2 linked regions of the Caenorhabditis elegans genome follow. The protein of the gene in region 1 purifies or fractionates together with the protein of each later gene. This does not show direct contact. Each region holds a gene or a part of one and is shown in the gene's direction. Other genes may lie near its edges.

Region 1 (4,192 bases):
TTTGTTCAAAACAACAAGTACAACTCCAAAATTACATGTAGCTGGTAGAGCCAGAATATCAACAAAAAAAGAAAATTTGATTGTATATAATGCAAATTTTCACAGTATTTGAATGTGTTCGAATATAAATAAAAATTAATTCAGATGAGTTCAATGAACAAGAAATCAAGAAACTTTCATCTTTTTAAACTTTACTTTTTTAGAATTACATTTTTGGAAGCACGATGCTACCTACTCCGTCTAATCTCTCTGATGGAATTGTCTCCAAATAGAAATTTCAGATTAATCAGTGTGTAGCACTAATTTATAGTAAATATCATTTTCATCGAAATGATCTAGAGTAATTTTTGAACTGTTTACTGTCTTTGAAAATTGATAGGTTTTAATCTTGTTTTCAAATATGTGGGCAATGCAGAGAATGCAAAAAAACTTGTTCTCATTCGTATTTTCTTGAAACTACTGAAAATTACCAGTTTTCATTTATAAATTATAACGAAAACAAAACAAAAAGTACTCAGAATGTGTCACAAACAACTGCAGAAGATTTGTTTGATTGTTAGTACAAAACCATGAAGCTGCTGAAAATTTTTTTTAAAGCTTGAACTGGAAAACATAATAATCATCAATTTTCTAAGAAAGTTTTAGAATACATATCAGTTTATATGCAAATTTTTGGTTTTATTCTTGAGTGAAACATTCAATTTTTATTATAATTACTTTTCAGGCAATTTCTTTCTTATTGTCCCAAATGTATAAATGTTTAAAAACTTTTTCATACAAATAGCTAGTAAAGTTTCTAGTTTTACAGTTATAATAGATTGAAACATTTGTGAAAAACACGATGCCGGATATAATTATGGCAGGCGTTCGGAAAATTCGCAAGTATATATAAGCTCCACTAAGTATATGTAGTGTTATTTGAAATTCTCAGCGTTCTACTCACATTGTGAATAAACCTGAACTGCCAACAACCACATTTCATTCTGATTCGTTATCTCTATATTGTTTTGTTGTGATCACTGAACACGAAAGACACACCGATCCATTTCATTTTCAAGTAAACAAATGTCTGATAGACTATACTATCGGGCATACAATAGAAACCTGTACCCAACCTTCACAACATATGTGCAGGTTTGAATTCGATGAATTGTTGTTTCCATATGAGATTTTTAGATATAACTAATAAACAAGAGAGCGTAGAGAGTAAGCGGTCAAAAAACCTTTATCAGATCCGGCGATCAACTAGTTCTTGACAGTAAACAATGTGATGGACCGCACAAAGCATTTACATCATCCGAAACGATTCTGCAGAGACGCCTGGGGAAGACGGAGAACTTGGCGAGTTTCCCATTTTTTGATGAAAACAAAACAAAACGGGCGTCAAGAGTACACGGAGAATATTGATCACTGTAATCCATAATTCCAACCTTGATCGTTACCCTCTTTTCTTGTTGATGTAAATTTTATTAGAATAACAACAGAAAAACACGAAAATCCCGACTTCTGAAATAATAAGATGTTACCGCCCTAATGAAAGGAGTGAAAGATTTCGGTATATAAGATCGTCTGAAACTACTGGAATCTTCAGTCCAACAATGAAGTTGTTGGTTTATTCCTTCTTTTTCCTTGCCGTCTTGGCTGTCTTCTCTCATGCCAAATCTGTTGGTCAACGTCTTCGTAGAGATGTAGAAGCCGACAAAGGACACATTTCTGGAGCTGATCAACACCGAGGATCTCGAGCTGCTGGAGATAAACCATCGCAATTGAGTCAGCCAGACGGTGAAAACCCAAAACGTCCAGAAAGAGCCGCTGACAACTCACACAAAGGATCCCTTGATGCTGATACTGATATTAAGCGCCCAGCAAGAGCTGCCGGGCAGAAAGAAACTCAACAAGCTGATCAAGAGCAACATCGCGGATCCCGAGCTGCTGGAGAGAAGGGAACTCAACACTTTGACGGACGTAATACAAGAGCTGCCGGAGAGAAAGGAACTCAACAAGCTGATCAAGAATCGCAACGTCCAGCCAGAGCCGCTGACAACTCACACAAAGGATCCCTTGACGCTGATGCTGATATGAAACGACCAGCCAGAGCTGCCGGCCAAAAAGGAACTCAACAAGCTGATCAAGAGCAACACCGTGGATCCCGATCTGCCGGACAGAAGGGAACTCAACACTTTGACGGACGTAATACAAGAGCTGCCGGAGAGAAAGGAACTCAACAAGCTGATCAAGAATCGCAACGTCCAGCTAGAGCCGCTGACAACTCACACAAAGGATCCTTTGACGCTGATGCTGATATGAAACGACCAGCCAGAGCTGCCGGCCAAAAAAGAACTCAACAAGCTGATCAAGAGCAACACCGTGGATCCCGAGCTGCCGGACAGAAGGGAACTCAACAAGCTGATCAAGAGCAACACCGTGGATCCCGATCTGCCGGACAGAAGGGAACTCAACAACTTGATCAAGAATCAAAGCGTCCAGCAAGAGCTGCCGACAATTCCCACAAAGGATCCCTTGACGCTGATGCTGATATGAAACGACCAGCCAGAGCTGCCGGCCAAAAAGGAACTCAACAAGCTGATCAAGAGCAACACCGTGGATCCCGAGCTGCCGGAGAGAAGGGAACTCAACAAGCTGATCAAGAGCAACACCGTGGATCCCGAGCTGCCGGACAGAAGGGAACTCAACAAGCTGATCAAGAGCAACACCGTGGATCCCGAGCTGCCGGAGAGAAGGGAACTCAACAAGCTGATCAAGAGCAACACCGTGGATCCCGAGCTGCCGGACAGAAGGGAACTCAACAACTTGATCAAGAGCGACACCGTGGATCCCGAGCTGCCGGACAGAAGGGAACTCAACAAGCTGATCAAGAGCAACACCGTGGATCCCGAGCTGCCGGACAGAAGGGAACTCAACAACTTGATCAAGAATCAAAGCGTCCAGCAAGAGCTGCCGACAATTCCCACAAAGGATCCCTTGACGCTGATGCTGATATGAAACGACCAGCCAGAGCTGCCGGCCAAAAAGGAACTCAACAAGCTGATCAAGAGCAACACCGTGGATCTCGAGCTGCCGGAGAGAAGGGAACTCAACAACTTGATCAAGAGCGACACCGTGGATCCCGAGCTGCCGGAGAGAAGGGAACTCAACAAGCTGATCAAGAGCAACACCGTGGATCCCGAGCTGCCGGACAGAAGGGAACTCAACAAGCTGATCAAGAGCAACACCGTGGATCCCGAGCTGCCGGACAGAAGGGAACTCAACAACTTGATCAAGAATCAAAGCGTCCAGCAAGAGCTGCCGACAATTCCCACAAAGGATCCCTTGATGCTGATGCCGATATCAAACGACCAGCAAGAGGTGCCGCAGACATTTCTCAACATGGATCAGTTCATACCGAGGTGAAACGTCCAGCTAGAGATGCCGGCCAAAAAGGAACCCAGCAATTCGGAGGAGACCATCACCGCGAATCCAGAGCTGCCGGCCAAAAAGGAACTCAACAAGCTGATCAAGAACAACACCGTGGATCCCGATCTGCCGGCCAGAAGGGGACTGGACAAGCTGATGTTGAACCAAAGCCTGTGAAGCGAGCTGCCGGGGAAAAAGGATCTCAACATGCTGAGATCGACCCAATGTTCCACCCACAGATGTAAGATATTGCATATGGACAAGCTCCGCTCGAGTGAATTCCACTTCGACGAAAACTCTCGTTTCGAAAAATTGTAATATGTATATTAATCTATTCATTTTCATGTGAATTTGTATATTAAAACATCTGTAAAGTATAATAAATTTTCATTCTTCGCGATCTCTGTAATAAGATTCTTAAAATTTTCAGAACTTTGAAAGGTGATTTGATAGGGTATCTTACAAATGATTTGCTAGCCCTGTCTTAATTCTGTGAGACTCGACAACAATAGAAAATGTTGATTTCATTACAACAATTGTCGTTCAATTGAAAAAAAGCTTTGCTTCCGAAAAAAAATTCATTATCAAGTTCGTAGAGTTTTATTATCTTCAGAATCAAGATTCGATCGCAAAAATGAATAATTCCATGGGACCTCTTCTCCTCGCATATCATAGCAGTTTCTGATAGCCTTCCCTCTTTTATAAAGATTATGAGCTGCGAAAATATATTTTCGCACCTCATAATTATTCAATTACTGGTTGATCGAATTTTATTGGA
Region 2 (5,628 bases), on another chromosome or scaffold:
TTCTTTCCATTGCATTACATTTTTTTTGCAAAATACAAGTTAATTGTTGGGTTATGCCGAGTCAAAGACGATTCACCAAAATCTATCAAAATTTTTGAGAACTGTTTTGCTGTACCAGTTATAACTCAACATCTATTGAGTTTCAAAAAGAAAATGATGTTGAATAATAATTGTGTAATATTTTGCTACATTTTATCAATTTCAAGTTTTTTGATATTTTCATGTTTACCCAAGTTACAGACCGTTTTTCGAAAAAATCCGATTTCGCTCATAAAGCTCTTCATATCCAACCTATCGACTTGAAATTTTGAAAAATAATCATTTTTTTGAGGTCTCTACAATGTCCTAAAAAATCTTTCAAAAAATCCTGCTAATCTCGAAAATCGTCCTTCGCTCCAAAAAATGAAATCGGACTTTTGCTTTTGTGCAAAAAAATCAAATTGCGATTTTTGGGTCGAAAAAAGTATTTTTAGAAAGCTGAGAACACGCTATTTACGAACTTAATGTTCATTTTGAATAATTTCTTCTCTTAAACGACCTAAAAATTAAACAAAAAGAACATATTTTTAATTCTCACGTGTAATTATTTGGTAATTTGCTCAGTGTTTCAATTGTTTTAAAGCAAATACATTAAAAAAATTACACGTGAGAATTAAAAATATGTTCTTTTGTTTAATTTTTAGGTCATTTCAGAGAAGAAATCACTTAAAATGAACATGAAATTCGTAAATAGCGTGTTCTCAGCTTTCTAAAAATATATTTTTCGACCCAAAAATCGCAATTTGATTTTTTTGCCCATTTCTCGAAAAGCAAAAGTCCGATTTCATTTTTTGGAGCGGAGGACGATTTTCGAGATTAGCAGGATTTTTTGAAAGATTTTTTAGGACATTGTAGAGACCTCAAAAAAAATATCATTTTTCAAAATTTCAAGTCGATAGGTTGGATATGAAGAGTTTTATGAGCGAAATTGGATTTTTTCGAAAAACGGTCTGTAACTTGGGTAAACATGAAAATATCAAAAAACTTGAAATTGATTAAATGTAGAAAAATATTTCATAATTATTATTAAAAATCATTTCCTTTTTGAAACTCAATGGATGTTGGGTTATAACTGGTACAGCAGAACAGTTCTCAAAAATGTTGATAGATTTTGGTGAATTGTCTTTGACTAGGCATAACCCAACAATCAACTTGTATTTTGGAAAAAAAATGCAATGCAATAGAAAGAAAAAATATTTCTGATCATTTTGTTAGTTGAACATTTGTTTCGTAGAAGTGTATTTTTCAAGATACGCCGGTTTGAAATTACGCAATTTCGCGAGTTTGGGTAGTTTTCTAATTCCTTTTTCACCATTGGCTAAAAGTTTATTTAAATTAGAATTATTTAAATGTCCAACTTATTTATTCGTTCAGAAATTAAAAATGGAATATCCTCCGTCTCCTTGTGACACCATTTGTATGCTCTCTCCTCCCTTTGGGTCTCCTGCCGCACAACATCACCATGACAACGTGGTTCGTTTCTCATTCCTGCTGCACAAATTGACCAAACCCTTGCTTTTTCAGTTACTAGATGAATTTAAAAAATATATTTACTTTAATTTCAATATCAGCATTTTCAAATGCTCAGTTTCGTTCACGAAACATTGCATTCACTATGCCTGAAAATTGTACGAGGCTTCAATATTTTAACAGGATTGAATTAAGGTTTGTTTGTTAATGGAAATTATGCCGTTTACATTTTTATTGAACTACGTATTACTTTAATAAAATGACCAAGTTTACAGATGCGAAATTTGCCCGAATACAACTATTCCATCAGATGACATGATGTCTTGTAAGTGCTCAAAAAACCAAATTGAAATTTTTAGAAATGGTTTTGTTCCAACTTGTGAAGAATGCCCAGAAGGTATGTTTCATGAAAAGTTGAATTTTGAATATTTATTTAAATATTTAACTCTAACTTTTACAGGAACACTATCCTCGCCGGACCAAACTGGATGCTTAAACTGTAATAATGGAACATGCCATTGCCCTTCACAAAGCACTCTCATTTTTCGAGACGCTTCTGGAAATCTTTTAACAAATGATGCATTCTGTGGAAACTGTGCTTCTGGCTTTTACAGAAATGACAACGGATATTGCACGAAATGTGAAACGTCGTGTTCCGAAATGGTTTGTTCATTCACATTTTAGTGTTTTCTTTTTGGAATACTAATCTTTTTCAGAATTCTACTAATTCCGATCAAGTTTATACACGAATCAAACTGCAAAACGGGGTCGAAATGAAATCTATCTACATTGAAAATCACTTGTCTACGGATGCAAAATTGTGTTCGGAAAGGAATATTCAAAGTTGCGAGGTTTCATTTTGAAAATTAGTAAATATAGAAAATAGTTTTATATTCAGGCAATGGTCAACATGTGTGTACTGCAAAATTTTGAATCAGGGTCTTCACTGAATGCGTGTGGACTTTTGGAAAATATTAAAAGATTATTCAATCCATGGCAAAATACATTGGATGCACTTGCAACCACTGATGATTCTGAATTGGAAAATGAAAATGTAATTGACCATCAATATTTGTTTCGTCCAGATTCTTCCTTCGAACTTTTCTTTGCAAGGTTTGTTTCACTTGAGCCTAAATTCATGAATTAAATTTTCCAAAGATTTGACGGATTTTAGGTATGATGTAAATGGAACATTTGATGGATTTTTCACTTCGGAAGACATATTTCTTCATTTTTGTGATGACTCTCTGAACCCATTTGCTCCATTTTTATTCGGAAGACGTTATCAAAAAGAATGCAAAATAAGAAAGGCAACATTCACAGATCCACGTCTTGAGAGAAAATTATTTGAAGTGTACTTGAAGTTTTCCGATGAACAGGGACATTCTAAGCTCTATCCTGTACACATTCTCAATAGTGCAGTACGAGTCAATGGACAACTTTTAAACTTTGCAAATAAAGATCGGAATCGTTGGGTGCTCACTCGAAGATTCTATTTGTTTGATGACTATTCGATGAAGTTTGACAATTCATCAAAACTTATGAGATTTGCGGCAAAAATTGGAATTAATGTAGTTCTACAGGTTATTTTAAATCTTCCCTTTTTTTTTAAACGAATATCAAATTTTAGAAAGAAAGAGATGGATACATAAATCCACCGTATTTAACAATTGAATATGATGATTCAACAGATGAAATATTTGAGAATAGTTTGGAAATAATATATCATAAAGATTCATCTGGATATGATCAAAAGTTGATAATAGCTCTTTCAATAATCATTCCAATGTCATTGTTCTGGTCAGCTCTGTGCTCATATAGTTGGGGAAGAAGACAAGGAAAACCTTCTGCAGTTGATGCTTCTTCTATTCTCTACTTTTTTGTTTGTGAAGTTTCGATTCTTGGAGATGTATTTTTCGTTTTATTCGGATTTATTGCTTGTTGGACAACATTTGCGTACAAAAGTCAGACTTATGTTTTGTACAATATGCTCAGTTATGATCAGGAAAAATTCTTATTTCATTATTTCATCGCTTCCCTCGTTTTAAAATTTTTTGGACTGCTGTTCACAATGGGTGCTCTTGTGTTTCAAGAAACTTTCTTCATTGACTGGGAAAGGCAAAAACTTAGACAGGCATGTTTGGCCAATACATGAGGAACCTCGATGAATTTGGATTTTTCAGACTGATGAACACGGAATGCCATTATCAAGAGATCTTCACAAATCAACAGAAGCTGAACCAGTTGTAGTTTGGAGAACATATTTGATTGCGAATGAATGGAATGAACTTCAGCAATATAGAAAAACGTCTTTGGCACTTCAAGTGATCACAATGATTCTTCTAATGGAATACTTTCAAGTCAAGAACTATGCTTTGGTTGAACCAGAGTTTGAGAGAGGTATGGTGAGCACTGAATACTTGAAATAAGCTTATTTCTAGATGCCTTCGACTCTTCAACAACTCTGAGCACTCTTGCCAGCTCATTAGCGGTTACAATTTTTGTCTATCTCTCATTGGCATTGCTGCAAGTTCTTGTCCGAGTTTTGATCGTTGAACGAATCGTGACCGACCCATTTCATAATTTTGTTGATCTTTGCTCTTTGTCAAACATAAGGTAAAATGCTTAAACCTACAAAAAAAAATTCTTCACGGCTTAAATCAATTTCAGTGTCCTTTCTCTGACCCATTCTCTGTATGGATACTATATTCATGGTCGTTCTGTTCATGGAAAGGGTGATGCTGGAATGAGTGAGATGAATGAATTCTTACAACGCGAGCGGGTTAGTTGGCGGTGATTTGTTTTACGAAAACTGAGGTCATATATTTTCAGAATAATTTATGCGGATTCCGAGGACTTGAACCAGGATCAGAGCTTCAGACTTTCACGGTAAATCTACCGAATTTGTTTCGTTCGAAATATGACGAAATTTTTGCGGTCTCCAAACAAACTACATCTGGTGTAGTTGGACATGAAGCGATCACGGCAAAAATGAATGCAACAGTCGATGCTCATTCCCAAATGAACTCATTTTTAAAGAAATTTGTAGATCATTCAATAACAGATATCGAATATGTTGTTCGGGATCGACCAGTCTTGGAATCAGTTTTAGATATGGAAATGAGTGATTCATCAATTACAGGCACATTCACAAGGTAGATACATATAACTCAAATTATTATTCAAACCAATAATTAATTTAAGGGATCCTGTGGAGATTGCATACTCCCGATGTTTTGTCTATGGAAATGAGTGGGCTTGGACTTCATTTGAATGTTTAACAGTTACAGTCTTCTATTTATGGTCTGGATCTTTATATCTTGCTGGTTTTGTTGTGTATGTTATTTCTCACTTGATCCGTTTGATTTTCGGTTACTTGTCAACGAATCATTTGATTAAGACGAGTTTAGTAGATCAACGATTTCTTGTTTAATATTAATTCATTTTTTTACGATTGTCTATTGAATTAAAAATAAGAAAATAATTATTAGCGATGTTACTTGATTTGTTCTGAATGCTGAAGAAAACCAGAATTCATCTGATAAAACTGATATGTCTATTGTTGTAGTTTGTTCTTCTGGAGTAGAAGTTGTGTTTAATTCAAGTATAGGAGATGCGTGAAGCTTTATGGGAGTTGTTGGCTTTCTTGACTTGAATGTGTGATTTCGGCAAGTTTCTGAAGTTCTGAATGGAAAATCAAAAAAAATCAAAATAACTCTTACGTTTCTCCTCCAAAACCATAATTAAATCTTGGTTTTTGGCAAAATCAATGTTTCGTTCGCACTGATCTCCTGTAGCAGCCATAAATAATTTGCCTTCATGAAAATGTGTAACAAAGCATTCTTTCTCATCACTACCACGATTTGAATATATCAAAAGACGGTCATCATGTTTCCAAGAAGCAAGACAAGTATATGAACGAGCTAAATTACATTTATGTATAAATTATCTTGGGATTTCGAAAAAAAGATCAATTGAGGTAACTTACAATCAAAAATAACTCCATCACTGCAGTGGTATGCCAAAATATCCATTTTTGAAGAATCGGTGCAATCAAATACAACGTCGTAACAATAATCTTGATCTAATGTTTTAGGAGTTGAAAAAATTCCAAATATA

Evidence for each region. The genes of interacting proteins can lie anywhere in the genome.
Region 2: the proteins of D1086.9 (region 1) and mks-3 fractionate together in Caenorhabditis elegans (co-fractionation; one large-scale study listed by BioGRID). This does not show direct contact.

What each region holds. Positions count from the first base shown.
Region 1 is NC_003283.11:14,102,672-14,106,863, forward strand, and holds D1086.9 (Filaggrin-like), read left to right. Parts: upstream 1-1,598; coding exon 1,599-3,659; downstream 3,660-4,192.
Region 2 is NC_003280.10:7,579,584-7,585,211, reverse strand, and holds mks-3 (Meckelin), read left to right. Parts: upstream 1-1,556; 5' UTR 1,557-1,654; coding exon 1,655-1,704; intron 1,705-1,784; coding exon 1,785-1,906; intron 1,907-1,969; coding exon 1,970-2,172; intron 2,173-2,225; coding exon 2,226-2,360; intron 2,361-2,407; coding exon 2,408-2,622; intron 2,623-2,683; coding exon 2,684-3,092; intron 3,093-3,139; coding exon 3,140-3,643; intron 3,644-3,692; coding exon 3,693-3,909; intron 3,910-3,950; coding exon 3,951-4,125; intron 4,126-4,179; coding exon 4,180-4,291; intron 4,292-4,341; coding exon 4,342-4,664; intron 4,665-4,713; coding exon 4,714-4,942; 3' UTR 4,943-4,967; downstream 4,968-5,628. Other genes in the region: F35D2.6 (Cation-independent mannose-6-phosphate receptor), read right to left, coding at 4,968-5,185, 5,232-5,432, 5,498-5,628.